Daphnia pulex: one gene and its partner. The protein of the gene in region 1 purifies or fractionates together with the protein of each later gene. This does not show direct contact. Links are inferred from orthologs where the notes say so. Each region holds a gene or a part of one and is shown on either strand. Other genes may lie near its edges.

Evidence for each region.
Region 2: the proteins of glycine--tRNA ligase-like (region 1) and isoleucine--tRNA ligase, cytoplasmic-like fractionate together in Homo sapiens (co-fractionation; 3 studies listed by BioGRID). This does not show direct contact. The link is inferred for Daphnia pulex from reciprocal best matches to the Homo sapiens genes GARS1 and IARS1.

What each region holds. Positions count from the first base shown.
Region 1 is NC_060028.1:9,584,392-9,599,611, forward strand, and holds glycine--tRNA ligase-like, read right to left. Parts: upstream 8,331-15,220; 5' UTR 8,220-8,330; coding exon 7,947-8,219; intron 7,845-7,946; coding exon 7,498-7,844; intron 7,428-7,497; coding exon 7,049-7,427; intron 6,986-7,048; coding exon 6,818-6,985; intron 6,762-6,817; coding exon 6,519-6,761; intron 6,456-6,518; coding exon 6,006-6,455; intron 5,923-6,005; coding exon 5,829-5,922; intron 5,761-5,828; coding exon 5,573-5,760; intron 5,501-5,572; coding exon 5,393-5,500; 3' UTR 5,238-5,392; downstream 1-5,237. Other genes in the region: unconventional myosin-Id-like, read right to left, coding at 1-4, 185-404, 1,384-1,579, 1,654-1,760, 2,812-2,900; XK-related protein 4-like, read left to right, coding at 9,195-9,643, 9,703-9,923, 9,988-10,143, 10,207-10,442, 10,514-10,846; uncharacterized protein LOC124210048, read left to right, coding at 12,984-13,228, 13,291-13,484, 13,567-14,036, 14,110-14,285, 14,353-14,524. UniProt on the Homo sapiens protein: Catalyzes the ATP-dependent ligation of glycine to the 3'-end of its cognate tRNA, via the formation of an aminoacyl-adenylate intermediate (Gly-AMP).
Region 2 is NC_060019.1:986,742-1,001,961, reverse strand, and holds isoleucine--tRNA ligase, cytoplasmic-like, read right to left. Parts: upstream 8,862-15,220; 5' UTR 8,717-8,861; intron 8,432-8,716; 5' UTR 8,426-8,431; coding exon 8,307-8,425; intron 8,228-8,306; coding exon 7,920-8,227; intron 7,838-7,919; coding exon 7,649-7,837; intron 7,588-7,648; coding exon 7,459-7,587; intron 7,385-7,458; coding exon 7,236-7,384; intron 7,172-7,235; coding exon 6,756-7,171; intron 6,698-6,755; coding exon 6,299-6,697; intron 6,238-6,298; coding exon 6,099-6,237; intron 6,033-6,098; coding exon 5,856-6,032; intron 5,794-5,855; coding exon 5,581-5,793; intron 5,521-5,580; coding exon 5,327-5,520; intron 5,271-5,326; coding exon 5,168-5,270; intron 5,102-5,167; coding exon 4,886-5,101; intron 4,824-4,885; coding exon 4,665-4,823; intron 4,601-4,664; coding exon 4,463-4,600; intron 4,401-4,462; coding exon 4,263-4,400; intron 4,193-4,262; coding exon 4,056-4,192; intron 3,992-4,055; coding exon 3,868-3,991; intron 3,809-3,867; and 5 more. Other genes in the region: mucin-21-like, read right to left, coding at 9,219-9,463, 9,527-9,644, 9,710-9,795, 9,920-10,505, 10,581-10,706, 10,781-11,203; dual specificity protein kinase zak2-like, read left to right, coding at 14,206-14,417, 14,475-15,019, 15,091-15,203. UniProt on the Homo sapiens protein: Catalyzes the specific attachment of an amino acid to its cognate tRNA in a 2 step reaction: the amino acid (AA) is first activated by ATP to form AA-AMP and then transferred to the acceptor end of the tRNA.

The DNA of each region.
Region 1 (15,220 bases):
ACAACTGTTCGCATACGGAAATCGGAAAGAGAGAGAAAAATGACGTGAGACCATTGAAAGAAAGCGACCGGAAGACAAGAAAAGGGAGGAGGGAAAGGAATTCGACTAATGAAGGACTACCACACGCTAATGGCACCCCATAACCGAGGCAATGATTATGCAAAACAAATGATAATGATGATACCTGATAGAATGAATGGAAGTTGCGCTCGCCCGCTTGCTGGACAATGACACGCGATTTCTCCAGCAGATAGTTGTTGATATGTCCGCCAATGGGATCGCCTTTGAAATCAAAGTGAATGTCCATGTACTTGCCGAACCTGGAAGAATTGTCGTTGCGATTCGTTTTGGCATTGCCGAACGTTTCCAGAATTGCGTTCGACTGAAGAAGAATGTTTTTCACTCTGCAAACGAATCAGAAAAATGTTTGTCATCATCATCTGATCATCATCATCATTGGTAATGACTCGACGAGAAAATCTCGGCGTGAATAGACGCCAGACGGGAAAAAGTTGGAGAGCTCGTTTTCAATTCCGCTCAAAGTCATCGGCCTTTTCAAACACCTAAAGGTTCAAAGAACAACGGGTGGGGGGGTCTCCAGTTGTTTTGGGGGAGGGTAACCAACGAAGCCAATAATGTAACCACTGTCACGTTCATGTTCTCACAACCACTGGCTAGTGAAAAATTCTAGTCTCAGGTATCCACGAGCTCTGTCGAATTTTCGCCAAACGTTTTTATGTGGTAGCCAAAACATAAAAAAATCGATTACTAAATCGCTCGTAAATAGATCTGGGCTCCCGCATACCTACAACCCCCATGAGCACTGATATATACCGTTAAGAAATAGTTGCTACTTTAAACCCCCCTAAGACATATTACTGTACTGCTGCAAGGCTAACCTGGGAAAAAGCTAAATAATCCGTCAGTTCGGCGTCTATTTTGAGATGGAAATTTGTGTTAGCACCCTAACTACTGACGTCACACGTGCCTGCGTTCGCGCTGGCAACAGCTGCGCGCTTGTTTATGAAAAAAAAAATGCAAACTATATAAAAGACTCTGACAAATTTATGTGCATAAGTTCACTTGAAAAGGTTTTTTTAATAAAAATACAATACGCCCGAGCTATAGAGCTACAGTAACCCGAATCCCGAGCTCAGCTAGAAGATTAGAGCCGCAGTCCAGGGACATTGAAGGACTTCATTGGATTAGTAGCTTAATAATCACGGAGATTTTTACAGGGCGTGAATACGTTGTGGACTATATAGGGCACCGCCTTTTTCCTATATAGTGGATCGATTGGGACTGTGCAGTGTGCACTGTCGACTTTTGTATGGTATGCATTCAGACAGCCCGAATGTACATAATAACGTCAAAGGTTCGTACCGTTCGATTTCTTGCTGGCCGCTAAGGTTTGTCACGGCTGCCAGGTAACGCATGATGATTTTGGAAGCCTCGGTTTTCCCGCTGCCCGATTCGCCGCTGATGACGATGCACGTATCTTTGCCATTTCTCTTCATCGTCTTGTAGGCTGCATCACCGATGGCGAATATGTGCGGCGGCCGCTCGAAAATTTCTCTTCCTGTTTAATAGAAACACAGAACGTGAATTGGCAAACATTTCTTGTGCAACATTGTTTCTGGGTCGGAATACAACCTTTGTATTGGCTGACATAATCCGGTCCGTAAATATTCAACGTTCTATACGGGTTGACTGAAACACACACTTCGCCAATGTAAGTGTAAAATTTCCCTCCATTGAATCTGAAATCATTATTTTAACACATGATTAGGACACTTGTGTGTTTAATGGACTTTGGAAGATTGGGCAACTTTGTAAAGATTGAAATAAAAACGAAAGGCATAAAATATGGCAGCTAGGTAGAAGGAGATTAGATAACGGTCTTGATTCACGGCCCAGAACGGCGTGACAGATGGCTGTTTCAAGTGGTCGTTTTTCATTGCAAAAGCAAAGGCAAACATTTCGAAAGAAGAAAGACAGACTATTGAGTAGACAACGTTTGATATACAACCGATCATTTCTTTCGTTGTTATTTGTCTAACTGATTCCCTCCCGGTTTATTTTTCGTTCGAATATCCCATGCAAATGACCACGACGCCATCTGCTCACGCTATAATTACCACATCGGAGCTGGAAATAGGCAATCACGCAAACGAGGGGGGTGAAACGAAACATCGAAACATGAACTAAAACAACTTATAATTTATCTGATAAGAGGGGAAAAACCAGTCTGTCCAATCTTTTTCCTCTTCAAATAATCAAAAAGAACAAATTTGCACCTAACCAACGCACGAAAAAGAAAGATAAGAATTAAAACACGCGCTGACATCATTTGTAAGTATTCTAAATGTTGTGGACAGACACGTAAACATTTTAAAAGTCAAAAGTTTCGCAGAAAAAGACCAATTTTAATTCCAAGGACTGGCGGTCGGTTATAATCTTACGAGGGGTCACGTCTGGTTTTTCTGGGTAAGGATTTTCGCTTTCTTTTCTAAGGTTCCGAAAATCCCTAGGATTTGTCATTTTTTAAAACACTATCTGCCGATGTCTGCCGAAAAAAAAATTAATAATAAAAAGTTAGTACTAAAATTTACTTTTCCTATATGACTTTTACCCAAAAACAACCCGCGACTAATTTACGACATCAAAACATTGCCCTCCCGGCTAGCTGCAATTGTCGTTCGCCCCCGCTGAGAGACTCCTCCAGCGAAAGAGTCTCACGTCAAAAGAATCACTATAAGCTATTTGTGTGTGAGCATCTGCCATTGTAAAAATAAAGTCTGAAAATATCACCTGATTCGCAGATTGTGGATGAAACTGTCGGGAGAAATTTCGTCGAGCAGAACAAAGTCTCCTCGACCGATCTCTTCGTGATTCATCATGGTGTGAGCACAAACAGCCTCCCCCCACGCAGACTCACGCACACAATAAAAAAAAAAACACACACAACCTTTAACAGGCGGCTTTCTCTCGTCCCTTTCTTTTTCTTCGTCGAGTCTCTCTGTGTGTATCTTCACTCAGTCATGTAGTAGATCGCGGTTCGCCAAACACCGGCCACGAGAATGAAGGGAGAGAACAATAACTAGAGACTTTCACGTCGTCGTTCACAATGATGAATGTACGTGTGTGCACGAAAAGAGCTTTCGCTTGTCCACACAGGTATGTGTATCAGGTGTTGTTGTTTCTTTCTTCCAAAAGGAAATGAGAAGATAAGAAACACTAGTGGAAAATATGTTTGTGTGTTGTGGTGGTGGTGGTGGGAAACAGCCACGAACAACAACACGACCAGTTCGTGCAGAAGCCAGCAGCCGACTGACTGTGGCACACGACACGCTGAACCAAACCCGGGGTCCGGGAGGAGTATTTTTTGTTCGTTCCCACTGCGGGGCAAGAAACGTCAAACTTGAATATATTTCGGTCGGTTATTCAAAAACTCGGAACCCAACGAAAGCTGTCACACACACACACTCAAACATACACACACACAATTCCGGTTGCATTAGTCACCATACTCCCACTTGGTTTGTTGTCCTACTAAGATACTGTATGAAAGTGAACCAAAATGGCAGAGCTTTTTACGAAATTAAATATTCAATGGGCCCTACCCCCAAAAACAACTTTTTTTCATTGTTTTTTGTTGTATATACCTGTCGTGTACTGTGTAGTATACTATCTATACGTGTGGGAATTTTGGTGAGCGGCGATGTTGCCGAACAGGATGATTTCAGGTGAGGCTGAAAGGGAGAACCTGGAAGGAAACAGGTTTAGGCAACCAAATTGAAAATTGTCGCTGTAAAAAGGTAAACGAGTTCCAGTTGCCGAAACAATTTCGTCTCGTGCGAAGGTGATGGCTTAAACCCAAAAACGAGTGTGTCTGTGTGTGTGTGTCGAGGCTCATATAGCTCTAGGCGGATGAAAACCTTAAATTCCACTTGCACTTCAACCGAATAGAAAAACTGGGAAGCACCCCACAGTCGTCTAGCGCTGGCTAATATGCTCATGGTCTCGCCTTTTTTTATTTTGTAATATCGTCACCATACTTGTCATCGTCTTTTTCATAATTCCTAAGACTATATGTACCAGCAATCCTCATCTATTTACATATGTCTTCCGGACTGTGGAAAATGGACAACGCGATTTGCAGTTTACGTTTCATCCCTTTTTTCTTTCTCTCTCTTTCTCCGGTTTTTCGCCTTAAGATATACAAACACAGGCATTTTGGCAACTCAAGTGTTTCTCTTTTTATCTTCGTGCCCGTGTTTGGTTCTCCCCTATCGCGCATTTGCGGCAGCAGCAGCGGCGGCGGCGGCCACACCTTTTCTCGCCGACTCTACTTCCTCCGCTAGGGCGTCTGTGTTTCGTTTGTTTTGTTTCCGTTATTTACTACGGCTGACGTCACACACGGGGGATAACACAAAATTCAAAAGATTTTAATCTTATTACAGGTCCTAGCAGATTAAATTGATGTCACGAAACGAGGCGTACGGCACATCGCATGCTCTTTGCCCCGACAATAGACCCTTCCGCTCCGGAAGATGGATTCCCTTATTTCTCTAGTCGGTTAATAAAAAAACAAACAATTTTTCAACCAAAACGATCGATGACGCAGCACGACAATTTAAAAGGATTGGATTAAACTAGAGGCCAAGTGAAAAACGGTTAGCTGATGGCAAGCCATCAAAAGTCATGTCATGACGTAAAAAAATTAACGAGCCGGAAGTATTACCGCTAGCCCAAAATGATGCAAACTCGACATTTTTTAAAGCATGGCTTTTTTCTGTGATAAAAACAAGCAATCTCTCCCCGTTCGAAGAACCCCTCCCTCACTGCATTCCGGCCGCAGGTTTCCGTCCGCTTACTAAGTCTTCATATAATCGGCAGTAGATCGTAACGAACGATGTGTCAGCGGGAGAGAGAGAGAGACTTTCTAAAATATCGATACTCACTTTATAACACTCTAGGTGGCAGCAGCGTTCGGCACTTCCTTGCAGGGAAACCTGGCGATTCTCCCCCTTTTCTGGTTAAATATCCGACACGGATATTTGCATCTGAATAGACTATATGGAGAGAATTCTACAGGGGCCGCATCCGGCCGTGGGCGATACAACAGAAAATAGGGAAGATGTTGCGTGAAATAAAAGAGCAGCGAGTTCTGTTTCATAACCGGTGTGAGAAATATAAAAAAAAAAGTAAAAATAAGAAAAACGAAAAATTTGACATTGGAGTAACCAGACAAGATTTACTTTCAGAAAGCCACTGGGGTGTGTAGTAGTACCCGACACCAATGCTATTATACGTCGTGCGCAAAAAAGTTGTTTTGCTCGAGGCGTTCGCCTCACCCAATTGCAGAAGAATTCACAGTTTCTGGGCCTATTTATGTCTTGGTTTCTTGTTGTTCGAATTTCGGGTACTTGGCTTCAACGTCCGTCCATGTCATCTTGTCGTAGGAAAGATCCCTTACAACGCCAGCAATCTCTTTCAACTGTGGACGAAATGGTAATTTTTTTAGTTAAACAAGAGACTTTCTTTCGTCTGGAATGACGTCAGAGCTTACCGGAATACGAACTTGACCCATCGAGTCACGTTCACGCAGAGTGGCAGTGTGGGGCTCTTTCAGAGAATCGAAATCGATGGTAATTCCAAATGGGATGGCGATTTCATCAGTTCGAGCGTATCGGCGACCGATAGATCCGCTTGAATCGTCAACGCGGTTCGACACGTCAAGGGCAGTGAGATCACGCGCTAAAAGGAAAGAAAAAGAGAAAGCATATGAAACACTGAAGTTCCCAGTTGCCAAGAAAACAACTTACACAGTTGGCGGATGTATGGAACAAAATCCGCATTGTTACTTAATGGAAGCACCGAGCACTTCAATGGAGCGATAACCGGAGGTAGAGAGAAATACTAAGGAAATCACCCGCGCAAAAAAGAATAAATATTAGAAATATTCTGAAATGACGACATCCATCCGGTGGTTTTGTACTAACCGTGCGTTGGCCACCGTCACTTCTCACTCTGAAGTTATGCTCAAAGATCGAGTACATAATCCGACCGATACCGAACGATGGTTCAATGACATTCGGCACATATTCTTCTACGTAAATAGTTTTTTGGTAACGCTTGACTTCCAACATGTCGGGTGTCAGGACGTAGGAATTGGCACCGATCTCAAGAACATATTTTCCGTTGTTTTTCAAAGATTCTTCCACTTCAGCGACAGTTGAAGGTTCCAGCTTCGAGAGCGCTTCCATAATTTCTTTGGCTTCCTTCTTGAACGATTTGCCAACAATGCCTTTGTTGGCTACAGCCTCAACGACGTCGATAGTCTTGGGCTCGCGCAACTTCCTTTCAGCAACAAGACGGACCCCGGTGGATTTGGTGTGCTGGGACAAGTCGTAGGCAGATCGATCGGCACAGCCGACACATTCAACCCATCCCTTGATATAATTCAAAATGTAACGTCAATATTGTTCAAGTTAAATCATAGACAAAGAGCTTACATAGGAAGTGAGACATTCAGCATCCCAACAATCGCAGGCGTAGTGAGCCATTTCGTTGTTCATATGCTGACGGAATCGAAGTTTCCTGGGATCTACTCCGACTTTGACCATGTATTGTTGGATACGAGCCATGAAATATGCCAAAGTTTCATTGGCAATGATTTTGTCATCCACTGCCTTGCCGATGGTGACAATTTCAGCTGCTTTGCCATCCATTTGGTTGCAGGCGGAATACAAGAGTACCTGTGCAATAAAGTTGGATTATTTCACAAGCTAGTATAATCAATTCGGTAACTTACTTGAACATCTCGAACTTCACTAAATTTAGGATGAGACTTGTCCGTTGGATCGCAGAAATGTTCAATTTCTGCCATCGTAAACTCACGAACGCGGATCAACCCCGAACGAGGAGAAATTTCATTGCGGAAGCTATTGCCAATTTGAGCTGCTGCGAAGGGCAGTTTTTCCTTAAGAAATGTGTTTGTTTGTTAACAGAACAATGGGCTAAAAGTTTCAAAATAAATTATTACTTGATTGAATTCCAACAATCGCTTGAAGTTAACAAAGATTCCTTGTGCTGTTTCAGGCCGCAAAAAGCCTTTAACTAGGCCAGTGGGGCCAATGTAAGTGCTGAACATCAAGTTGAATTCCATAGGATCGCTGAGTTCGTTGTTGGTTAAGGGTGCTTTCATCTCAAATTTTCGGAGAATGACACGCATTTCTTCCTTGTTCATTCCATCGAGCTTAACGACAATGTCTTCACATTCCAATTTGACTTCAGAAGTTGTTTTCTTATCAGATTTGACCTTTTCTAGATGGGCTTTGATCAAATGGTCCAGGCGGAAACATTCACCATTTTTCTCATCCTTTACCATTAAATCAGCAAAACGATCAACATGGCCAGAAGCCCTAAGATCAGACATGAGAAATTGAGTATGTAACAAAAGAGATTTTTTGCCATAAAAAACAGGTTACTCACTTTAACACAGGTTCAGGAGTAAGGATTGAACAATCAACTTCCAACATTTGTTCTTCCAAGATGAAAAAATTCCTCCAGGTACTGAGCATATTGGCTTTCATGGCACAGCCCATTGGACCAAAATCAAATTGGCCAGTGATACCTCCATAGATGGCAAAGGACTGGTCAAAGAAGAATCTTCTCTTTAGCAAGTCTTCCATTTTAGCTCGGTCAAAAGAAGCCTCCACAGGAGCCAACTCCAACTCCTTATCTTCAAGAATCTTCTTCCGAGCCTTCAGTTCGGCAACAGCTTTCTTCAAATCAAGCTCAGGAGCACCTGATTCTTTTAGTTGACGGACAATATCTCCCTAAAAAGAGGAAACAAATCAGGTCACACTTTGTTCAAGTTGACTTGTCACTAGCAGGTAGTACTATAACGAACAATAATCATCATCATACAAACCAAATACCTGCTCTTTGACAGAAGCACGGAAAGGTGCCAAAACTTCTTCAATCTTAGGATCAGCCATTATGTTAATAAACTGAATCTTTAATTTCTGCTTATCCTTATGCCTTTTCGAACCCCAAGCGGGTGCCTGTTTTTGATATCTTAAAGAAGAAAGAACGTGAAGCTTTCTCGAAAAAAGGAAAGGTTTAATCTTGGTCGTGCAAGATTGAGTGCCAAGGAACTTTCTACTAAAGACTAGGGAGGCTACAGTCTTAACAACAAAAGGAAATTTCATCAGCAATTTTGAGGTACGGAACGTGGCACCGGCCAAGAACCAGCCCGTTATTTTCGTCTGCCAATGTTGCACGATTAATCAAATGTCTCCTATCAGATAAAGCGCTCCTAGCGGATATTTTCAAAATTTCGAAAATGAAAACGGAATTGAAGGTCCTCCTTTTTTATGATGAGCAAAATGATATGTCGTTGTAGAGAAGATGGCGGTGGACGCAACATCGTATAACAAACTTAAATGTAATTGGGGTAAAAAAATCGTGGCTTCTTATTTTGGAAAATAACAAAAGGGAAGGTATTTTAGAGTGGTATCCAACCTGGGTACCACGCTTTTACTTTATTGAGTATTGACTGCGCACTGGACCACTTTTCACTGTCGACTACACCAAAATAATGCGATAACGTGAATTGTCTCCTAGAGACGAACGCAAATGATATGTAGTCCTAATAATAATAAATCGCGGTTCGACTTTCGGTCTAGTAGGCTCCCCAGTGTCTACTCTACGATCCTTCGATTTTGTTAAACCATTAACATCACGTTAATGCACAGAATACACAAAAGACGGAAATACACAGAGGACGGAATGACATGATTACATCATTTTTTTTTGTCACAGAACAGTTGACGGACGGACGTGTATTCAACATTAATACTAAAAGTATAAATCTGATTGAGATCATTCGTTCAATAAGGAGAAGTACCGGTTCATTACCGAACGATGAAAATATTCCAAGAAGAAAAAGTTCAAATTTTGTTTGTTTTCAGCGCCCCTAGCGGATTATTATGACATTCACTATCATTCTACTGTCTGCTCATCTATTGCCCTCTTCCGCCTCTTTTCATATCTGTCAAAGTCGGGTAGTCGTCAGACGGCGCTACGTTTTCAAATTATTATAGCAGGTGTGTGTGTGTGGCTGTGTGCTAAGCCAACGGCTCGTGTTTATAAATCAAACCTAAATTAGTTTCACGAGCCCAAATATGGAATCTACCGCCAATACAGTTTCATCGCCGAGTAAACTGTTACCAAGGGCGTGTCATGAACGTGTGTCGGCTGAAAACGAAAAAGACAAGTGTCAAGAGAAGTCGCTGGTCGAAACGAGTCACTTTGAGTTCGACGAAGTGGATGGCTTGCGAGGAAAAGCAAATTTCAACTGGCTCGATGTAGTCTGCATCGTTGTTTCCATATTCAGTTACATGGCTGATCTTATCACTGACGGATTTATGGCTGCCACATATTTCAATTTGGGGCACCATTGGTATTTTGGGTTTACATTGGCTTTCGTGGCCATACCTGCTCTCACCATGTCTGGTTTGAGTACAAAGTGGTACATTAAAGATCAGAACAACCAAAACTTTCCTCCAGTGTCTACATGTACCTGGGTGTTTCGCATATTCTGCCTAATATTTTTTCTTTCTCCAGTTGCAAGGTATTTTGTGTAGTAACATGCATTTAAGCCATGAAATACATCACAATTTCTTTTTTTAGATATGTTGACACCCTTCGCTATGGACTTCAAAGTAGACGAGCCAAAAAGAGGAAGGAATACAACAAAATGGGCCAGTGTTATGCTAGAATGGCCTATGAAGATGCTGATGCCACATTCCTAAGACTGTTTGAATGTTTCATGGAATCTGCTCCACAGCTAGTGTTACAGTTGTACATTATGGCAAAAAACACTTTCAGTTTTGGAACTGATCCAATAGCTGGTAATTATTGTCATTTCGATTCTATATCATCACAAATTCTGAACTAATAATATGGTATTTACAGTGACTTTCCAAGCTGCCTCTGTTGTCACTTCTGTCGTCAGCTTGGCGTGGGCATTGACGACTTACAACAGATCACTGCGCTTTGCCCAAGTAGACAAGGAAAACATTCATTTGCTGGGAACTTGCGTTCTCTTCTTAGCTCATCTTTTTGGGATAGGTGAGGCATAGGAAGCTAGCTCAATTTCCCTTAAATTGAATAACGTTGAATTTGTTATTATAGTTGCTCGAGTCATTGCACTGACTGTCTTTGCTTCCGAATACGGTTGGTTTATTTGGCCTGTCTGTCTTGGCCACTGGATCCTAATGGCTATATGGCTTTGGTTGCAGGCAACAGCCGCGTGCTCCACCCGCACAGAAGAATTCTTCTTTTGCCTTATTTTAGCCATCATCCATGTCTTCACATTCTTCAACGTCAAACCCGATCGAACACGTTTCCGATATGCTTTCTATTACGCTGTAAGTTGTATTTAAAAATTTAACCATAAATAACATTACATTTGTTTTGCCTTATTTTATTTTTGTTTTAGGTTTGTTTCTTCGAGAACACCATTCTTATGGTGCTGTGGTGGATTAAGGTAGCTGATATAGCCCCACCTCGTCCTTGGTTTCACTTCCCGGCCCTGTTCGGCCAGATAGGATCCTTTGTACTGAGTATCGCTCTACTTGCATTTTACTACAAGTGTCTTCATCCGAACCTGTTGCTGCCCAATGTCGGCATATGCAACAAGGATGGAGCAACCTTGTGCTTAAGCGATACTCACCCTCCTATCATCAATGGTGTTCCTTCCCCTCGTACTAGTCCGGCTCGACTCGGCAGACTCGACATCATTCAACGCGAAGATGTCCATCCTGAAATGTAGAATCTCTATTTCTGTCCTCCACTTCGAAAAGATCTGGATTGATCTTATTTCCGATAACTTGACTAACGTTTTGTACATACTCGTCAGCTTCAATCAGGGAATAACTTGACTTGCGCATTTGCACTTTTTTGTGGTTTGCTCTTTCGTGATACCCTCGCACTTACTGCTGCTAAGCACAATTTCCTATGGTAAGAATACACCGTATTTTGCACAGCTACCGTGTTTGTATTAAAAATACCTTTGATAAGCATATCTTCATCCTTCATGGATATAAATCGTTCGATTGTGAAATCAAGATACCCTCGTAACAAAGCTTCTGTTTATTACATTGTGAGTATTATCATTTCTTTGAACGACGTGAACGTAAATTTAAAAAAAAAAACCAAAAACAAATTTATGTTAACATGTATTTTAATTAACTTTTGTTCATTGTCTCGGACCAGGGATGTTTAATTGAGAATTCGATTCTTATGGGCTTTTGGGACTATCGTTGCTGCTTGAAGACGGGTGTCTGTCTTCCATGGTTCTACACGGATTAGATCGGACACTAACTGTCGTTCCCTTTTAGTGTTATTCCATTTGAATTTTTTTTATAATAGAAATTTTTGATTTTACGGAATGGGGACCATTTGTTGCAAAAGCTAGATTCCATACATAACGAAAACGATTCCCACAACATTGCCATTTTTCGATGTAGAATAAATGAATATAATTTTTTTTAACTTAACAAGTTAATTTTTTGTGTGTAATTGTTACATCCATGGCAGAATTGTGTGTATGAATATGTTGTGCGGATGGGCAGGAAGCAGGAGGAAAGGGGTGGGTTATTTTCTTTGGCATCGATGGCAATAAGGGAGGGTTCGATCAAAATCTTTTTTGATCCCTTCTCCAGTTCTCCCGCTTTTTCATTTCGTTGTCTATTCTTCACCGCAGAACAGTTTAGTTGACTCGTGGTCGAGAGTGGAGTTGTTTCACTTGTTTGTCTTCAAGTATGGCATGACATTTCTCAGTGTGAAGTGTTAATCATCTAAATTGATTCTAAATCTAAATAAATTTTAAAAAACTAGATTCAAATGATTTAATAACTGAATATATCACCCTAGTGCTGTGCATGATGGAAGGAGACTATCAAGGTGTGTGTTGGCTGCCAGAAAAGAAAGGATGCCATTTCGTCGCCAACTCTGAACCCGAATCCCCTTTCTTCATCGGTAAGTCGTAATCATCTGCTGTTCACTTTAGATAAGCCAAAGCCACTATAGGCTCCGTGAATTCCCTAAAATTCTCCAACTCAATGTAGAACCACGTGGTCGACTGTGTTATTCAGCTTGTAGCCAAAATCTAATTGATCTCAAGATCACTCAAACGTGATGTTTTCGAATGCTCGAAACGTTTTGACAATTAGGTCACTAGAGCAATAAACTCCTGAGTTTGTCCCTTTTTCTTGGAAACCAAAGGGTTTTGTTTTATCCTCCGAATTTGTTTTACCTTTTGGCCTTCGTCTTTAGGACGAATTTTTCTCTTGTTATTTTGGTCTTTGTTGTACATGTGACAGTTCCACGTGCCAAGAAATAATTCATCTGACAAGCTAGGGTAGCAATTCAATGATAATAAAACCCAAAACCCTTTACCTAAGTTTGTTTAAAATTTTTCTAATGTCGGTCATACCCTTCTGTCTCCGAAAAAACACTGCTGTAGGTCCTTTTCCCCATGTCAGAATTACTATATGTAGTAACATTTTACTGTTACATATCAGACTACAAGAAAAAGAACTTGTGTGCCTCCAGTTTTAGGTAGAGTCGTAAAATGGTTAGACGTAGGCCTGTGACAGTTTGATCTGGTCAGTCAGTCGGTCACAATCCAGCACTCCGGCTGGACCCTCTCTGTGGATTTCGCTCAACGTTTGGAATCGTCAAGCAAATTTTGTTTTTAAATTTTAACTCATCTAAAAATTTTACAGTTTTGTTTCTCTGTCCAATTTGAGTGCTCATCAGTGTTTTGGTTCCCACAAAATATTTATTTCGTGAAGAGTGTTTCAGTTTGAAACATGCATACTCCCAAAGATATACCAGTTGCACAACCACAGGTCGAATGTGAAAGAAAGTCAATAGCGTGGGAAGTTGCGACGATCGTGCTTTTAATGGCTTTTTATTTGTGGGATATTTTGAACGACGCGTGTTTGGTGTTTCGCTATCACTATGCAGGTTACAAATACTACTGTTGCATCACACTAATCTTTTTAGTAGTGCCTGGCATGTTCATGTCTTTCTTGAGTAACGATTGGTACGCCAAAGACGAAGAAGAATTTGCGCCCGTGTCAAAGTCCAAATGGAAATCTGTTTTTAGAGTTGTCTGTCGAATCATCTTAATATGGCCTCTAGCCAGGTATTTTCGTAGTACAATTTGACTCGTATCGACAGTAGCGGTAAAGGTTGAAATTAATCTAGGTACGTTGACAGCCTTTGTTATGGAATTGAAAGTATAAAAGCCCAAAAGATGAAAGACTTTCCGAAAATGGATCAATGCCTTCAACAGATGACTTATCTACGTCTCGTAGAATGTTTCTTCGAATCTGCTCCTCAATTGGTGTTGAAATTTTACATTATAGCAATTCATGAATGTGATCTATTTAACACACACGGTAGGCTATCGGAATTTCCTTATAGCAAATTTTTCTAGTAGCTAAAAAATGGATCCATTTTGGCATTTTGTGACTTTTTCAGTTGTTCTAGTCGTTTGCTCTTTTTTTATATCTCTTGTCAGTCTGGCATTGACATTGACATTATACGAGAAATCAAAAACAGAAGAAAACGACCAATGGCGTAACACTTTTTATGATACTTTCTTGTTGGGGTTAGCTTGTTTTTGTTGGATAAGTAAGTTTTCAATAATTACGTTTATTTTTCCTGTTGAATTTTTTAATATTTTTGTCTTTACACAAGGCAGTCGTGTCATCGTGCTGGGTTTCTTTGCCGCTTATTGTTTCCCTGTTTTACGATTCACAATAATCATTGTGCCATTGCCCATCTTTATTCATTTGTGCTGCAAATTCAAGGCAAAAAGAAAAGAAGAATTAACTTTTGGAAAAGTCGTCTTTTACGCAATCACAGCCTTAATCCACGTTTTCGCGTTCGTCAATGAGCGGAAAAAAGTGCCAGGCCCTCCCCGCCCTCCGCAAATTCCGTATTTACTTGTAAGTCGTAAATATTCGAAATTTGTTTATAGGCATGAACAAATTACAATTATATTTTTTACTATTAACACAGGTTATATCTTTCGAAACCCTTTTTTACGTGATTATCGTACTGATGCATGGCAAATTTGATCAAGAACCTTCCGACCCACTACCCTGGTTTTATAGTGTGGCTATTGCCAGTGGGTTAGGTTTGCATGGTTTTAGTTGGCTTTTGCTGGCAATCTATTACCGACATAGTCTTTGCAAGTATGTTTTGATGCGACATATTTATTTATTTATTTTTAATCCTCATTTTTCATTATTGATTGGATAGGAAATCAACTGATGAAAAATCAACTGATGAACGCCCTCAGTCCACTATTTTTACTGACGAAGATGGCGAAATTTTTCAATATCTTTCGGTCAATGGGGTCGACTCTTCCCCTATGAGTAGGCCTACCCCTACTCAATCTTTGGCAATAATCGCCGCCAAAAAAATTGTTTGAATTAGAAATTGCAAGGATTCGCATTTATAGTAAAATAACCCCAATGAATTTTCGCGGTTTTTTTTAAATTTTATTGGGAAATTATTGAACTATTTCCAAATTCTTTTATATCTCTTAAATAAAACGCGTCCTGCTGAAACTGAATAACATTGAAAATAATTTTTTCACGCGAACATTTTGAGCGCCGTCCATGCAACCCCATTAAGGTATAGCGTCGGCCATTTTTGCGGCAAGCGGAACTATGTTCCTCTCCGGCAAATCATGTCCAATCTTGTTCCGCTGTTTCTTCACAATGATGCAAACTAGTTAGGTTTAGCTAAGCAGTCATCCACAGCATCTGACAGTTGACAGTTGTGCTCGGAAATCTTTTGTCTTTGTGTATAAGATTTCCCTGCGTTATTGTTTCACGAAAAAATATCTGAATCATGGGTGAGAACGTGAATAATAACAACACGGTTTCGCCGCCGTTTATTTCGTTCCCAATTCACGAGAAAGAGAAAATTTTAAAGGAAACTAAATTTATTTGGTTTCACTTTCTTCGTGTCCTGTGGTCCATGCTCATTTTCGTCGTTAGCTACCTGTGCAATATTTTTTCGACAGTCAACTATTACCAAAATGGAAATTATTGGTTTCTTGGATTTCATTTATTTCTTGTGCTCTTCGCTGCTTTTTACACGACTGTCTTCGGTGACAGTC
Region 2 (15,220 bases), on another chromosome or scaffold:
TGCCTTATGAAACAACTTTGTTGAATCTCAAAGTGGTGTTAAACGGTCTTGCAGCATATGCTCTATTCGAAAGTGAAAGTTAGGCACCAAATTCGCAGTAATCAGTGTCCATACGTTGCAACTAAATCCTTTGATTATCTAATGATTGTTTCTAGATCCGACCATTTCACCGGTCCAGCTGCTCAACCAGCCCCCCCCCCCCTGGTCCAGTTGCTCAACCAGCCCCCCCCCCCTGGTCCAGCTCAACCCCCCCCCCTGGTCCAGCTCAACCAGCCCCCCCCCCTGGTCCTGCTCAACCAGCCCCCTGGTCCAGCTAAACCGATAACACGATCCGGCGAGATAATTTATACCCTTAATCAACCCTACTATATAAACTGTACCCTTCTACATGTAACTCTCTGACCCTCCAATTCAAATTTCAATGTTTTACACAAAGTTTGCTGCTGTTTTCACAACCACAAGTAGCAACGGGCCAGACTGTTAGATTTCAGAAGAAACCCAGAATTAACAATTGAAGTCTTTTGCATTGATTCCGGAGAAGTTCACACAATATTTTGGGGATCTCTACGTATTCTGCACCTTTGTGGACATAAGCAGAGCTAATAAGAGATTTGCCTCCTGCAGCAAGCAAATTCACTCTTGCCGACTTGACTCCCACTTACAGACTTGGATTCTTTATGCAGAGAGTCAACCAGCCCGCTGGTCCAGTTCAACCAGCCCGCCGGTCCAGCTCAACCAGCCCTCCGGTCCAGCTCAACCAGCCCACCGGTCCAGCTCAACCCCCCCCCCCCCCCCCCGCCGGTCCAGCTTTACCGATAACACGATCCGGCGGAATCATTTATACCCTGAATCAACCCCAATATATAAAATTTACCCTTCTACATGTAACTATCTCTCGCTGTACTCCCCTGACTGGACACACGTCGAATACATCTGTCGCTTCAATCTGGCTATTCATTTACTGTAAGCGGCGCCTTACAGAATTGCCTGATTTTCCTTCATGCGTTTCTCGTGTAAGTGTGCAATGCAGGCCTAATGATAGATATTTGTGTTTTAAAAGATTCATTTTGTGTTCATGACAGATTGCTGAATCACTTGTGCACAACGAGGAGACTCTCTTTGTTGTTGAACTTAACCCTTTTTCAGCCGTAGGGACTTCCGTTGCGAGATCCTCTGGAGATTTCTATTGCCTTTCGGGACAAAGTCCTATAGGGAATTCTATCTTAATCCTTGTTTACGTGGCGTCTAGAAGTTAAAAACTTTTATTGGCTCACGTCGATAAAGGGTTAAAGAATCTGGATGCTTTTTTGGCCAATTTGAAAAATTTCGGGTTCAATTCCTGTAAGATCTCTTTTCAGAGATGACGATGAGCTATAGCTCCAATTCCCAGCCACCTTTATTGTATGCGGACTTGAAAAATCATGTCGGACATTATGGCATTCTCCGTTATGATAAGTAGGCTACCTTTATCGTGTTTACATAAAGAACGAGATGAGTGTAATGCCCCGCGGCAGCCCTGCCCACTCTATGATGGCCGCCGCTGAGGACGTCACAACCGGACAGCATGCGGACTCAGCAACCCCCGAGTCCACACCTTGTCCCAGCCGGACCGGCTCTCACGCCACCCCAGACCAGCCGCCGCTACAGCCTTGACCGGGCACTATGACGGCCCACACCAACCTGCAGAGATGCTGACCCGGCGATCCCGTCATGTATAAACCGTCGCTTTTCCCTCTCTCTCGCTCTCTGCTGTAAGCTCTCTTGCCCGGCACTCTCTCTCTGTTGTACCTACTCCCTCTTGACCCACACGTCAATACAAGTAGCTCTTTAGTACTCAACATCGTTTTCTTCTCTGTAAGGAATCCCCACCTTACATGAGGTACAATGCGGCACAATGTCGCTGTTTAATTAATTGATTTCAGCAAAAGTGAGCGTGTATCTCGAGATCGGTTGTTTGCGCCTGTTCCAGAACTAACGCTTTTTTATAAATCACCCATTGTAATTCCTTGTAAAATGCAGACTGCAGCTTCAATTACGCTTCTCCAACTGTGGGCTGTATTTTTGGAAAAGTCTTTTTTTTTCTTAAGTTTGAAGTGAGGAAATCTACTTCGAAATGTTACAACGTTTCTCTGACCAGCGATCCATGCAATACTGTTATTGAAAAAGCTCTTTCTCTGGAGATGAGTAAGAGAAGTATTATTGAATGTTTCCTTATTAAATAAACTTATAATTTATATTGTTATGCTCTAGGTTAAGAGTCGAGGTTCGCTGATTTTATGAAGGCATTTTGGATTCGAACTGGATATTGAAATTTAATTTACTGTGCGTTTTTTTCTGTATTTCAAATTCACCTAGAAACTTTACAGAGAAAATAACTTTCTTTTTAAATAAGTAGACAAATTTGCAAAATTAGAAAAAGTTGTCCCTTCTGCTTAGTTTATTTCAATTATTAGTGTGGTTCATAATCATAGTACACACTTCTAATTTTTTATATTGACAGAACGAAGGAAGTACCTATAAATATATAAAAATGTAGTAACTATCGAGAATTAAAGGTAATGCATCAATGAGAAGTTAATTCTCAGTTGATTCTGAATTGCATAACATAAAATTGCTGCATGTTTTCAATATTTTGTTAGCTATTTTTTTACCCATGACGTTTGAATTTATCAACGTCTGGAATCTCAACGTCAAGAACTATTATTCCACTTTTACTACTAATACTCGAATTTACCTCACGGCAGAATCGTGAACAGATTTTACGAAAGATATTTTTCGAAAGAGTGAAGTCTCAATTCTCCTCAATGTATAATCACTCATAACTTTTACAACATCGGATTATCGATTAAACACAACTATTTTAGCTTTTGGGATTAGATATTTGGGTAAAGAAAATTTTTTATAAGACGAAAAAGAAATATTGAACACAAACCTTATTTCGTCAAGCAAGTGAATTCCATTCTGAAAGACTTTCATAGATTATATTTAATCTTCGAGAGTTCCGTGACGGCCTACACACTGGCTCGAGGGTAATATTTGTTTTAAGGTACACTCTGTGTAGGGTATCAAGTAGAACTGAGGCGGGGGCGTGTCAGATCGCTCGTTAGCGATTTCAAGCAAACCCCGTCTCGAAACGAAAAGCAAACTAAAAAAAAAAATGAAGGGCGCAAACCCTACAATCAATTCAATTAGTTAAAAATAACTTCGGCAACTATTGCATGCAAATTGAGAGACCATCAAACACTTTATTGTTTACTGATTGCCTCAGATTTGCCCAAGTACACAACAACTGTGACAATATAATGTCACGCTATTGTTAAAGCCAAAAACAATTGTTTCAGGTGAATCAAAGTAAATAGACGGTCTTCCCGTGTAACCCGTCCAGGTTTTCAAATTTCGCTGGCTGCATTTTCTTTTCATCGGAGGACAACTTCTTTGATGTCGAGTAAATGGCTCCGATTTTCCGCTGCATTTCCTCTGCAGAGCTGAACAGTGGACATCCCACAGGATTCTCCAACAGTACCGTTCCCATTTTGCCGTCTAATTTGACATTGACAAATCTGCAACAAAGAAAAAATACGAGGCGGATTAAGAAAATGGTTTTCACTGAAAGATTTGAGATGAAGAGACATTACCTGCAAGCCGATCCATCGATGGATGGTGTTTGGGCAGCTGCATCTTCAGCTGTAGCTGGAACAACCGTTAGCGTCGTGCCAGCAAGTTTGGAAATATCCGTAGCCGCATCGAGAGTCACACCGGAACTCTTGACCGTGTACGGTCGACCATGCAGACCGAAAACCGTAGCAGCCTAATAATTGATTAATGGTTATTCATACATGAAATGCAGTATGGATATTTCAAAATTACCTCTTTCACAAGTCCTTCGAAAGAGACGAGGGATGCTCCGACAGGATTGCTTAGTAATATGGTTCCGTAGGATCCTTCAATGCCATAACCTGATTTCAGGCCTTCTAAGCAAAGATTAACAAAGCTGCAATACAAAAAAAGAAACATTTAGATTTCAATTATGTTTTCAAAAATGAATTATCAATTACGGCGTAGATGGTTTCCCTCGGCCTGTAGGAGCCTGGGTGGCAACCAGAGACTTCTTGCCTGGAGGGACTCCGGCTTTCGCTGCCCAGTCGGCAGTGAATCCTTCTTGAATGGTCAGCACTAAATCTACACCTTGCAACTGTAGTTAAAAAATAAAATAATTTAACTCTATGAAGTTTATGAACAGTCGTGAAAAAATTCATTGTTACCTTTTGTGATTTGTTGATGAGGACTTTTGCACCCGACTTCTTGGATGGTGCTGCTCTCCATGGAACTTTAATGGCAGTCTCAATGTAATTTGAAAAACTCTTGACAACATCGGCTACGTATCCGGTAGGAGGAACAACCTGTTAAAATAACCACACGTTAATGGAAAGCTTGAAGGAGTTTATTAATAAAACAGTAATACCTCAAAGTAGACGCTGACGGCATCAGAAGGAGTTACGTGAGCTTCCTTGCGCAGTTTTTGGACCAAGTTAATGGCTTCTCGGGCCAAACCTTCGTCCTTCATGCTTTGGTCTTGGACTACATTCAACAACACCAACACCTGTCTCACATAGAAAAATTCAATAAAAAAAGCCAGGAAAATGGTTCTTAAACAGACAACTTACGTCTTTTTCCGCTTGTGTCTCGTATTGCTGGGCCAATTCAGCAGCTCGGTCACCAGTGAACTGGTAAAAGATCCGCAAATCCTCTGGACCCATCATGTTACCCAAAACATCGATCTGACCTTCGGTTAAGAATCCTTGTAGCTGCTCATCCGTCAGGGTCTAATTCAGTTCAATGAATAAATTTTAGTTCATGCATGTAATCACATTACGCAGTAAATAACCTTGATTGCAGCCATGACAGCCTTGAATTGGCCTTTGAGTCGCGCTCCAATGCGGTGATCCGGTTCTGCACGTAGACTGACTCCAAAACTGTCCTTGTCGGTGGTCAGTTTGAGAGCACGGACATTCAACTCTTCCAGAATGTATCGTTCCATAGTCCTCAATTCATCCAAGGACTCTTGCTCACGGAGGATAACAATCACTTCCGGCAAAGGGTACTGCAAATTATTTGAAAATGATAATCAATAACCGGCAGCGACAGAATATGAAAAAAACGATCGAACCTTGATGGGCAGAGTGCGGCGATCACGAAGAACACGTCCGAGTTCAATCACCACTTGCATCCGACTCACGGCATTTTCAATTTTGACATCAATCAAATGTTTCCTAATAAAAATGAAGCATTAGTAAATGTTGATTACTGCTTGTAGAATTTTTAATACTTTGGTTCAGGCGTAGAAAGGAAATGAACGGATTCCGTCGTTCCGGCTTTCTGGTTGGCCACTAAATGACGCAAGTTGCGGTACATCAATTCGGTCAGGAAGGGCGTGAATGGGGCCATAACACGGATCATGGAAAACAAGACACTGAAAAGTGTCTGCAAGGCGTGATGACAATCGTCCTTGCCACCATCTCCCTAAACGACCAAATGACAATTAATCTAAGGTGTTGTGAAAATAAACGAAAAGATTTTTACCTTTAGTCGCTTACGGTTCATCCGCACGTACCAGTTGGTCAGGTAGTCTACAAACCGGACAAGACGAGGAACAACAGTGTACAGCCGATAGGCAGCCATTTCTTGGTGGACGAATAGCAGCAAGGACTGAGTGTAGGAAATGATCCAGCGATCCATCACATTCGTTGACAAATTAGAGGCCTCTTCTTCATAAACGAATTTAATTCCATCTTCCTGTAGCCAAGAAAAATGCATCAATATCAAAATGTCTAACAATATCTAAAGAAAACACTTACGCGCTCGAGACGTTCAAGATTTTGGACAAAGAATCGGTAAGCGTTGTACCAGGGTAGGAAAACGTCTTTGATAATATCTCGAACACCTTCCTCTTTGAAGCGCAGATTCTCCGCACGAACAACTGGGGAGTTGATCAAGTAGAGACGAAGAGCATCAGCTCCAAATTTATTGACAACCTATAAAAGTCGAAAAAAGTAAGTTAAACCATTTTGTTTAGATAGAAAAAGAAAAAATAAACTTGCCAGCATTGGATCGGGGTAGTTCTTCTTCTTCTTTGACATTTTCTGGCCGTCACTGGCCAACACCAAGCCGTTGACAATCAAATTTTTGAACGGTGGTTTATTGAAGAGGGCAGTCGACAAAACCAACAGCGTATAGAACCTAAAACAGCCAAGATATTATTCGTTAAATGCCTACCTCAATTTACTATTAACAAACATACCATCCGCGTGTTTGATCAATGCCTTCGGCAATGAAATCGGCAGGGAAACAGTCCTCAAATTCTTTCCTGTTTTCAAACGGGTAGTGGACTTGAGCGTAAGGCATGGATCCAGATTCGAACCAACAGTCGAAAACCTCTGAGACACGTTTCAAGGGTGGCCGACCGGGAATTTTGGAGGGAATAGTGATGCCATCAACGTTCTCGCGATGCAAATCAGTCAATTCAATGCCCGTGAGTTCTTTCAACTCGGCGATGGATCCGACACACACCACCTCTTCGCCATCTTCCGACATCCAAATGGGAATTGGAGTGCCCCAGTAACGGTTGCGACTGACGGCCCAATCTCTGGCGTCACGCAGCCAGTTGCCGAACCGTTTTTCTTTGACAAAGTCGGGCACCCTAAATACAATTCATATGGGTCAACACGCAGTAACACGAAATGTATAACGTTTGTTACCAATAAGTTTTCTGGTTGTTTTCCAACAGCTGTTTGGACATTTGCTCCACACGGATGAACCAAGAAGGAACAGCACGGTAGATAAGGGGTGTTTCAGAGCGCCAGCAGAAAGGATAGCTGTGCTTTACGGTGCCGGAATTCACCAATCGGCCACAGTCTTTCAACATTTTGATAATGTTCTTGTCTGCATCTTTGACGTGCTGGCCGGCGAAATCAGTAACTGGATCAATGAATCTTCCTCCATCATCCACAGGACAAATCATCTCCTGATCTCTTGAGATAATGCCAGCTGCCAGGCAAACTCGGTAATCGTCCTCACCAAAGTATGGGGCTTGGTGAACGATACCAGTGCCGGATTCGTCGGTGACGTAGGAATCCGTTAAAACTTTAAATGCTCCAGAGCCGGAAGTCTTCAACTGTAAAAAAAAATCATGATTTAAATTACGACAGAATTTAATTATCTTTTAATTTCATAATTACGCTGGCAAAGTAAGGGAACAGTGGCAGATATGTTTTTCCCTTGAGAACTTCTCCTTTGAATCGTTCCACAATTTCGTATTCTTCTCCAGATTTGAAAAGTGCACTGAGACGAGCTTCCATCATGATGTAAACCTTTTCTGTTGCTTTTTCTATCAAGAAATATGGAGAATAAAATTGTTTTAGGTTTTACTTTATTTAATAGTTACAGTTGTCTTAAACAAACCTTTAACTCGAACATAGTCCAGCGTGGCGTTGACGCAAAGTGCAAGATTACTCGGCAGTGTCCATGGAGTAGTGGTCCATGCGAGAATAGACACTGACGGCTCATCGTCAAGCGGGAAGCTAACAATTACTGTATTTAAAAGACAAGTAATTAAGAATGGCTTGAATGTAAATAGAAATATATGATTTACCTGCCGGATCAACCACTTCTTTGTAGTTCTGTCCCGACTCGAAGTTGGACAATGGAGTACTACAAGCCGTCGAGAAAGGCATCACTTTGAATCCACGGTAGACTAGCCCCTTCTCGAAGAGTTGCTTGAAAACCCACCAGATTGATTCCATGAACCACGGGTAAAGGGTTTTGTAGTCATTCTCGAAATCTGAAACACAAAACATTGAAAAGATGATTTAAAAAATAGTAATTGAAACAAAAGAAGTTGATAGAAGGAAATTTTTACTTACCAATCCAACGTCCCATTCTGTTGACAATGGTCTCCCAGTCCTCTGCGTAACGCATGACAATCTTTCTGCACTCGGCGTTGTAATTGGCAATTCCCATTTTCATGACATCTTCTGGGCCTTTGATCCCAAGAGTTTTGTCAATTTCATATTCAACTGGAAGGCCATGTGTGTCCCATCCAAAACGCCTCTCAACATGAAAACCATTTTGATGAGCATATCGGGTGACAATATCCTTGATAGTTCCAGCTAAGATGTGCCCATAATGAGGAAGGCCAGTAGCGAATGGAGGTCCATCATAGAATGTGTACCTATGATAAGTAAAAATAAAATCAAAATGTTAAATTTGTAATTTTTAAGATGCAAATTAAATGGATTGATTTGCATTACCTAGGTTTCCCTTTGGACAATTTCAAACTGGTTTTAAATGCATCAATTTTCTTCCAGTATTCCAAGATTTTTCCTTCTTCCTGAGCAAAATCAATTGATTCGGGAACTGGTTCCACCATTTCTAACTGTAAAAAAAAGTGTGCAGAAAAATGTCTTTACATTTCGTAAAAAACATATGATGGACTGTTAACATGGTATCAATTTCCTACTTGTAAAGAGTTTTAACCAAGCAAAATAAACGATTCTGTAAACTTACAAAGTGCCACATAAACTGTTTTTGACACAATAACAAGAAAAACTGGTATTGAGTTCACATTGCTGACATAAGGAGCGATAAATTTGATTTTCTCATCAAACCAAATACTTCTATGAAATAAACTAAATGCATGCAATGATAACTTTATAATTACCTAAAAATAAATGAATCAATCCAAGAAACAGTAGCTTATCTATCTTCCACGAGATTTCCGGCTCTTGATCGCTGAATTGCTGAATTTTACATCAGAATTTCAAGAAAAATTCGTCTGCTACCAAACGCAACGTTGCCACACTTTCAACATACGTATTTCAAGGGCAACGTGAACAGGAAAAGAGGAACTGATGAAGGAGGCTGGGAGGGGAAATCACGAAACAAAACTCAACAAATCACGATATCTTATTATCTTACATTGAAAAATGCATAAGCTCTTTAATTGTGTCTCACAGATGGATCCATGATGGATCTAAACTAGTGGTTATGAGATACAATTAACTTAAGAAGTCAAAACTCAAGCGGTATGCTGATTGCTGGTGTATTTTTATTTTCGTATAAATTTCGAATTGATAACACACTGATATAAAAAAAATTTTACACGAAAAATATATATAAATAAATAATTGCAGATCTATTTATTACATCTGGATTTTACCAAGTTAATCAATTGATTCGCAAATGAATCTGAAAGAATTAGTGCAAAATATATCAGCCCAATAACCAGCACTAAAAGTTTTGATTAAATCAAGGTGAAGGCAATAACCCGGTCCGTTGTTATCAGGTTGGCCTGGACTCCAATTCACGTAAGTGAACGGCTGAAAGGGTTCTGTAGATGCCCATTCCCATATTTTTTCTCCATCCAGGGAATACATCCCTGAAGTCCAATAGCTGACGCTGTTCAACTCTAGATTCACGCAGGAAAAAAAATATAATTTATTCATTGCACGATTTTCACTTGACAATTTACCTGGTGTAATTTTGATATGGTCGTAAATTAACTTGTCCTCCTCTACAGTTTCAAGACTGAGCAAACCCATACCTTCATCTTTACAAAAGGTATCCGCGGATATCCAATTCTTGCCGACCTGAAAATTTGTTGAAATTTGAACCTCATAACAAAAAAAATCTGAAATCGTGATTGGTTTCTTACGGCGTCGGTGAAAAAGCAATAACATTTCCCACCCAAGGTCCAGCAAGGCAGTTTAGTATTTCCTTTCAAATACGATGGACAATCTTCTGCAAATAAAATTCAAAAGAAAAATCATCAATTCCAATGTAAAGTGATTGTAGTAGGGATATAACAGCAGGATTGCAAAGGGATGTAGCTCAAATAATTGAAATACGTTTTCACATGCCGTACCTCCTTCTGGAATAGTTGTTGCGAGTTCGGTGGTCGTTGTTATAGCGTCTGTTATGTCGGTAAATTCAGTCGATCCTGCTGACGTAATCCCTGTCGATTGCTCCTCTGTTGTCGTTTCTTCAGTTGTAACGGTTGTAGTTTGATCACTGGTGGTTGGTAAAGGAGTAGCAGATGTGGTTGTAATGGCTGGTGGTGATGTTTCAACGGTTTCCGTACCCGACGTTGATGTTTCAGGGATTTCCGTGCTTATTGTAGAAGTAATAGGACCCGTTGAGTTCTCCGTCAATTCAAAATCATTTGAAGATGTCGAGGTTGTTGGCGTGGTAGACGTGGTAGACGTGGTAGACGTGGTGGACGTGGTGGACGTGGTGGACGTGGTGGACGTGGTGGACGTGGTGGACGTGGTGGACAGAGTTGTTCCAGTCGATGTGGTAGATGAAGTCACTGGAGTAGCAGTCGTCAATGAAGAAGTTTTGGTCAGTGTAGTCGATGTGGTTGACGAAGACTCTTGAGAAGAAATGAAACGGAGGTCGTCGATGGCGACAGCATCTTCAGCATTCGTCCCGCAATAAGCGTAAAACACCAACTACTTTCGTAAGGCACAAAGTTCCAGATTAAAAAAGACACATCTCAAACAAGAAAACGAATACAAATTTAATACCGTCAAATTAGAGGATGAATCGTCCGTTATTGAAACGGTCTGAGACTGCCAAACTCGATTGTTGATATGGGAATGCTCGAACAAATTTGAAAGCAAACCTTCATTTCCGTTTCTGGCCAGATACAACTGCACATCAATTAGATAATTAACATTTAAACAAAGTCCGTCCTTCTGATAATATAAAATAATAATTTAATCACCTCCAAGTTTGTGAATTGTGGCCATTTAGAACGAATCCAAAAGGAGAATGAAAAGGAAACTTCGGTGTCAGACCCAAGGGTGAAGGTCTGACTGCGCAGAACAGCCACACCGAACGACAAAGTCGATCCACGATCAACTCGGAGATAAGTCGATCCGTTGGTCGGTGTAGGAGCCACATTTCCTGGCTCCCAAGGCAAAATTTTGTTCTCGACTCTCCACTTGACACCAGACTCCGACTGCTCAATCCATGGGTCAATTTGACCGTTCTCGAAGTCACTATCAAGATTGACAAGTTCAACCAATTTCGTGGGTCCGACCGTGAGATCGCACATTTGATGTTGACAACTAGCGATTAAAGTTGATGGCTTGTCAATGAGAAGTAATAAAAATAAGCCCACTAAAAACGAGAGACAACTTTGCATTTTCAGCACAAATTTGAAATTCAAGCACAAATAACGAAACTACGTCGCTACACAATCAACGGCCATACAAAACGAATCAATCTAGACTGAAGCTGATTATTATAGTCTGCGTTAGTTTGTTTTTCGTCATGAGCAGCTGATAGATAACACAAGTTTCGTAAGATTGTTGGCGTCATATGAAACATTTTATATGTACCTGAATATTTCGACAAACTTCGATCTGGCGGGGATAGATGAATTAGGTTATCCATTTGACATTTCAGTTGCATTATTTGCGCACAGATATTTCTACAAGATGACATTAATATTATCTACATTGTGCGTCAAACGCATTACTTACAGTATTGTGGGAGTCTGTGGTACTCATTACTGATGCAGCCGCCGATGAAAACTCCGATAAGAATGGCTGAAAACGTTACTACGATAACACACCCAGAAGGTGTCAACGATCTTTTCACCTGTAACAACTGCCGACTAAGAGCAATTTTGAATTGCTTGGTATCTTTCATTAAATTATGTTTCTATTTATAGCAACCTTATTATGAACAATGAGAGATGACCGCAGAGGTAAAATTATACCATACTGACTAATTACACCTGCTTCTGTTTTCTTATCAATTTCAAGGATACAAACTAATCAAATACGCCATATTGTAGGACACCACTTCAGCCTAATAAGAATGATTTATCTTAGAATCACTAACCTTATAGTTCATTAGAATATGATAACAAGAAAATCAAATATAATTTGACTTAGTTTTTAAATTCACCCGCAGAGTATTAGTGACGCCACCGGCCACTCCATTGTTTCGTATACAAATTCATTATTTTGATTTTCCTAATAAAATAAATACTTAAAAATAAATTTATTTACGTGAAAGTTGTTGAAATAGATTGGAAAAAATATAAACTTCAATTTAATTACAATTACAAATTATTCAAATCGAAATCAAATTAATAAAACTTGGAAAATGAGAGAAAATTGTGTGCCGCAAACAACGGTTGCATTGCAGAAGTCTATAAAAGGAGACTCATTTTGGACTTCATCATTACGGTATTCAGTTTACCAAAACTACCAAAATTCGAAAATGGCAGATCTCTGTTTTCTATTTGAATGTCTATCTTTATCTGAGAAGCAGAAGCGTACTTTAGAGTACAAGGATGAAATAATTCTTCACCGCAGACCCAAACGACTTCGTTTGCCCAAACCCTACGAGTTAAATGTTGTTGGGCTGCAGAATGTTGGAGAGAAGATTCGTCTCAAAAGATCCAACAAACGCCCGAAAATGGACGAAGGTGTCAGTCCCCTCCTGAGAGGTAACGAAATGGAAGTTGATGAAGACGTCGAGGAGATTGGGCGTAACTTGCCACGAGACAAATCGAACAATCGCCACCGTCGCATCGCTACTAATCCCGAACCGAATCAGCACCTGTCCGTCCGGAACACCAACCGATTCAAGACCTTGCCAACCGGCAGCAACGGAAAAGGACACAAGACCCGTCAACGCAATCGCGGAAACCGTTCGAAGAAGAACTTGGTCGTGAACTCGTCCGACCGCGGCCGGATCGTGGATTTGACGGGATCCAAACCGAACGTGACTAATAAACCGAAGCCGACTTATTTAGAGGAAGTTCAGGACCTCAAGTCACTTATGGACTCACGGCGAAAAATAACACCTGTTCGTCGCCATTAAGTCTTACTTTGGCGGGGAAGTATTTTGGATTGGATTTGAAGAGGATTGGCTGAATTTCAGTTTTGGAAAATTTGCATTTCGTTCTTTCTTTTTTCGATGCGTCATAAGTCATGACTGTGGATAAAATAAAATTTATAAAATCAAAACACTCTACTTGTTTGTCTAATTCATTTCCGTTATGTTTTTATGACAACTGTTGATCAGTATAACAGATAACAATTTAACAAAAAAATCCTAACTGGCCCCTAGTCTGCGTGCGTTTTCTGTAAGAATTCTAAACGGAAGTCGACTCGTACCGTACAATGCTCAATGAATATAGGAACTTGGGCAAAATTCTCTCATTGGACGTTTCAAAATTAAAACTGTAAGAGCGGATTAACTATTTTGGAACGAAGGGGATCTCACAAAAACTGTGGGACTTACTATATGGAGTGTATGGCCGATATCTGCACGAAAATTCGTTTCTTAATGAATTGTTGGCAGATAATGGTCAATAAGCTAAAGTCTGATAAATTCAAATTGGTTATCTAACATAAAAAAGGCCTATTAAAATTTTTTTTTATATGCATACAAATTGAATTGAACATTTTTTCGGCCTTTAAAAAAGCCGTTTGTCGGAAAAAGCACAGAGTATTTTATTTTTACATGCATAGAATTACTTTTTGGGCTTATACTGTTTAACGACTTTAACCGTCCTTTTAAAGCTCACGAGTAGGACTTTACAGTTTACAACAGGCTATATTTCAAAATAGGTAAAATGGTATAAACGCAGAGATAAGGAGATGACCAACTCAATGGGAGAGCCAGCAGACGACGACACCCCATTTATTCACCCGACCAGAACCCACCCTTAAACTATCTCCCTACCACCCTCTGCGTTACACTAGCGCAGCTTATATTTAATAATTTTAAAAAGTGGTCAAATTGTTATGTTAATTAAAAGTCAAACTGTTCAACGATCGAAAAGTGCTACCAAAACGAGAACCTGATAAGAAATAACGATAACGAAACTAGGCAAGATACAGTAATGCTTTTATATGAGCTCTCCGACGACCAACCAACCACTTACACGTACGAAGCTTCGGCGATTTCTTTGATTTCTTCTGATTCCCCCAAAAATAAGGTAAAAAAAAAGCTTTCTTCAATAATTAACGACCAAATCATTATAGTTTACATCACGTTCTTAGTTAACAAACTATTATTTTCTCTCTATGATGTTTGCTTTCAATTTGGTTTTTTATCTCCATGGGAATAACTTTGCAGTCCGAGCGTTACTTGTGCAGTCTTTTGTCAGCCTGTTGATTCGAGATGGAATTTGAATGCAGCAAAAACCAATTAGGAAGAGGAGCATTTGGAATCGTCTTTAAAGGTTCCATGGGTCCAAATCACATCCCAGTAGCCGTTAAACGACTTCAGCTCGTGGATATTGAAGTCAGCGAAAAGGAAGAAGAGGCTCTGAGAAACTTGAAACATCTCAACGTTGTCAAATTATACCACGTCAAGAGCGACTCTGATTTCAGGTAATGTCCCTCTTCGATATTAGAATATATATTAGATAAGATTTAATTCTACTATAGGTATTATGCTCTTGAATTGTGTGAAGCTTCGTTGGACAAGTTATTCCTCAAAGAAGGTGACCCCAAAAAATGCTGCAGGCGAATGCCACCGAGAGAAGAAGTTCTATACCAATTAGCCACGGGATTAAAATACATTCACAAAATGGGAATGGTCCATCGTGACATCAAGCCTGAGAACGTCCTCATCTGGGTGAATCCCAAAAAAGAAGAAGAAGTCCTAATGAAATGGGCTGATTTTGGACTAAGCAAAAAAGTCAACGAAAACGGATCTTTTTCTATAAGTGGAGTACGAGGGACCGATAATTGGTTAGCACCAGAACTACTGAAATTACTTAAGGAAGAAGAATTAACGGATGGTTTAGAAGGAATTACATCATCTTCACGTCGACGGGGAACTATCCAGAGCGACGTTTTTGCCGAAGGCCTCGTCTTCGGTTATTTCTATTTAGACGGTGAACATATTTTCGGGAAAATTCCTGTGAATAGTCATAACCAATTGGACATAGCTAATAACATATTGAAGAACAATCCCGTGAATATCAGCAGTAAGTTACTAGAATTAAAATCAAAAACTGTCCAGTCATAATTTCAAAATTGCTTTTCCTTTCTTTGATAGAAATTCAACCAACGCACGTTCACAATCTTATCTTGAAAATGTTGTCCAGCGCACCAGATAAAAGGATCACTTCTTCGGAGGTTGTTGAATATCTTACAGAGTACAGAGCTCCGGTAAAAATAAATAAGAC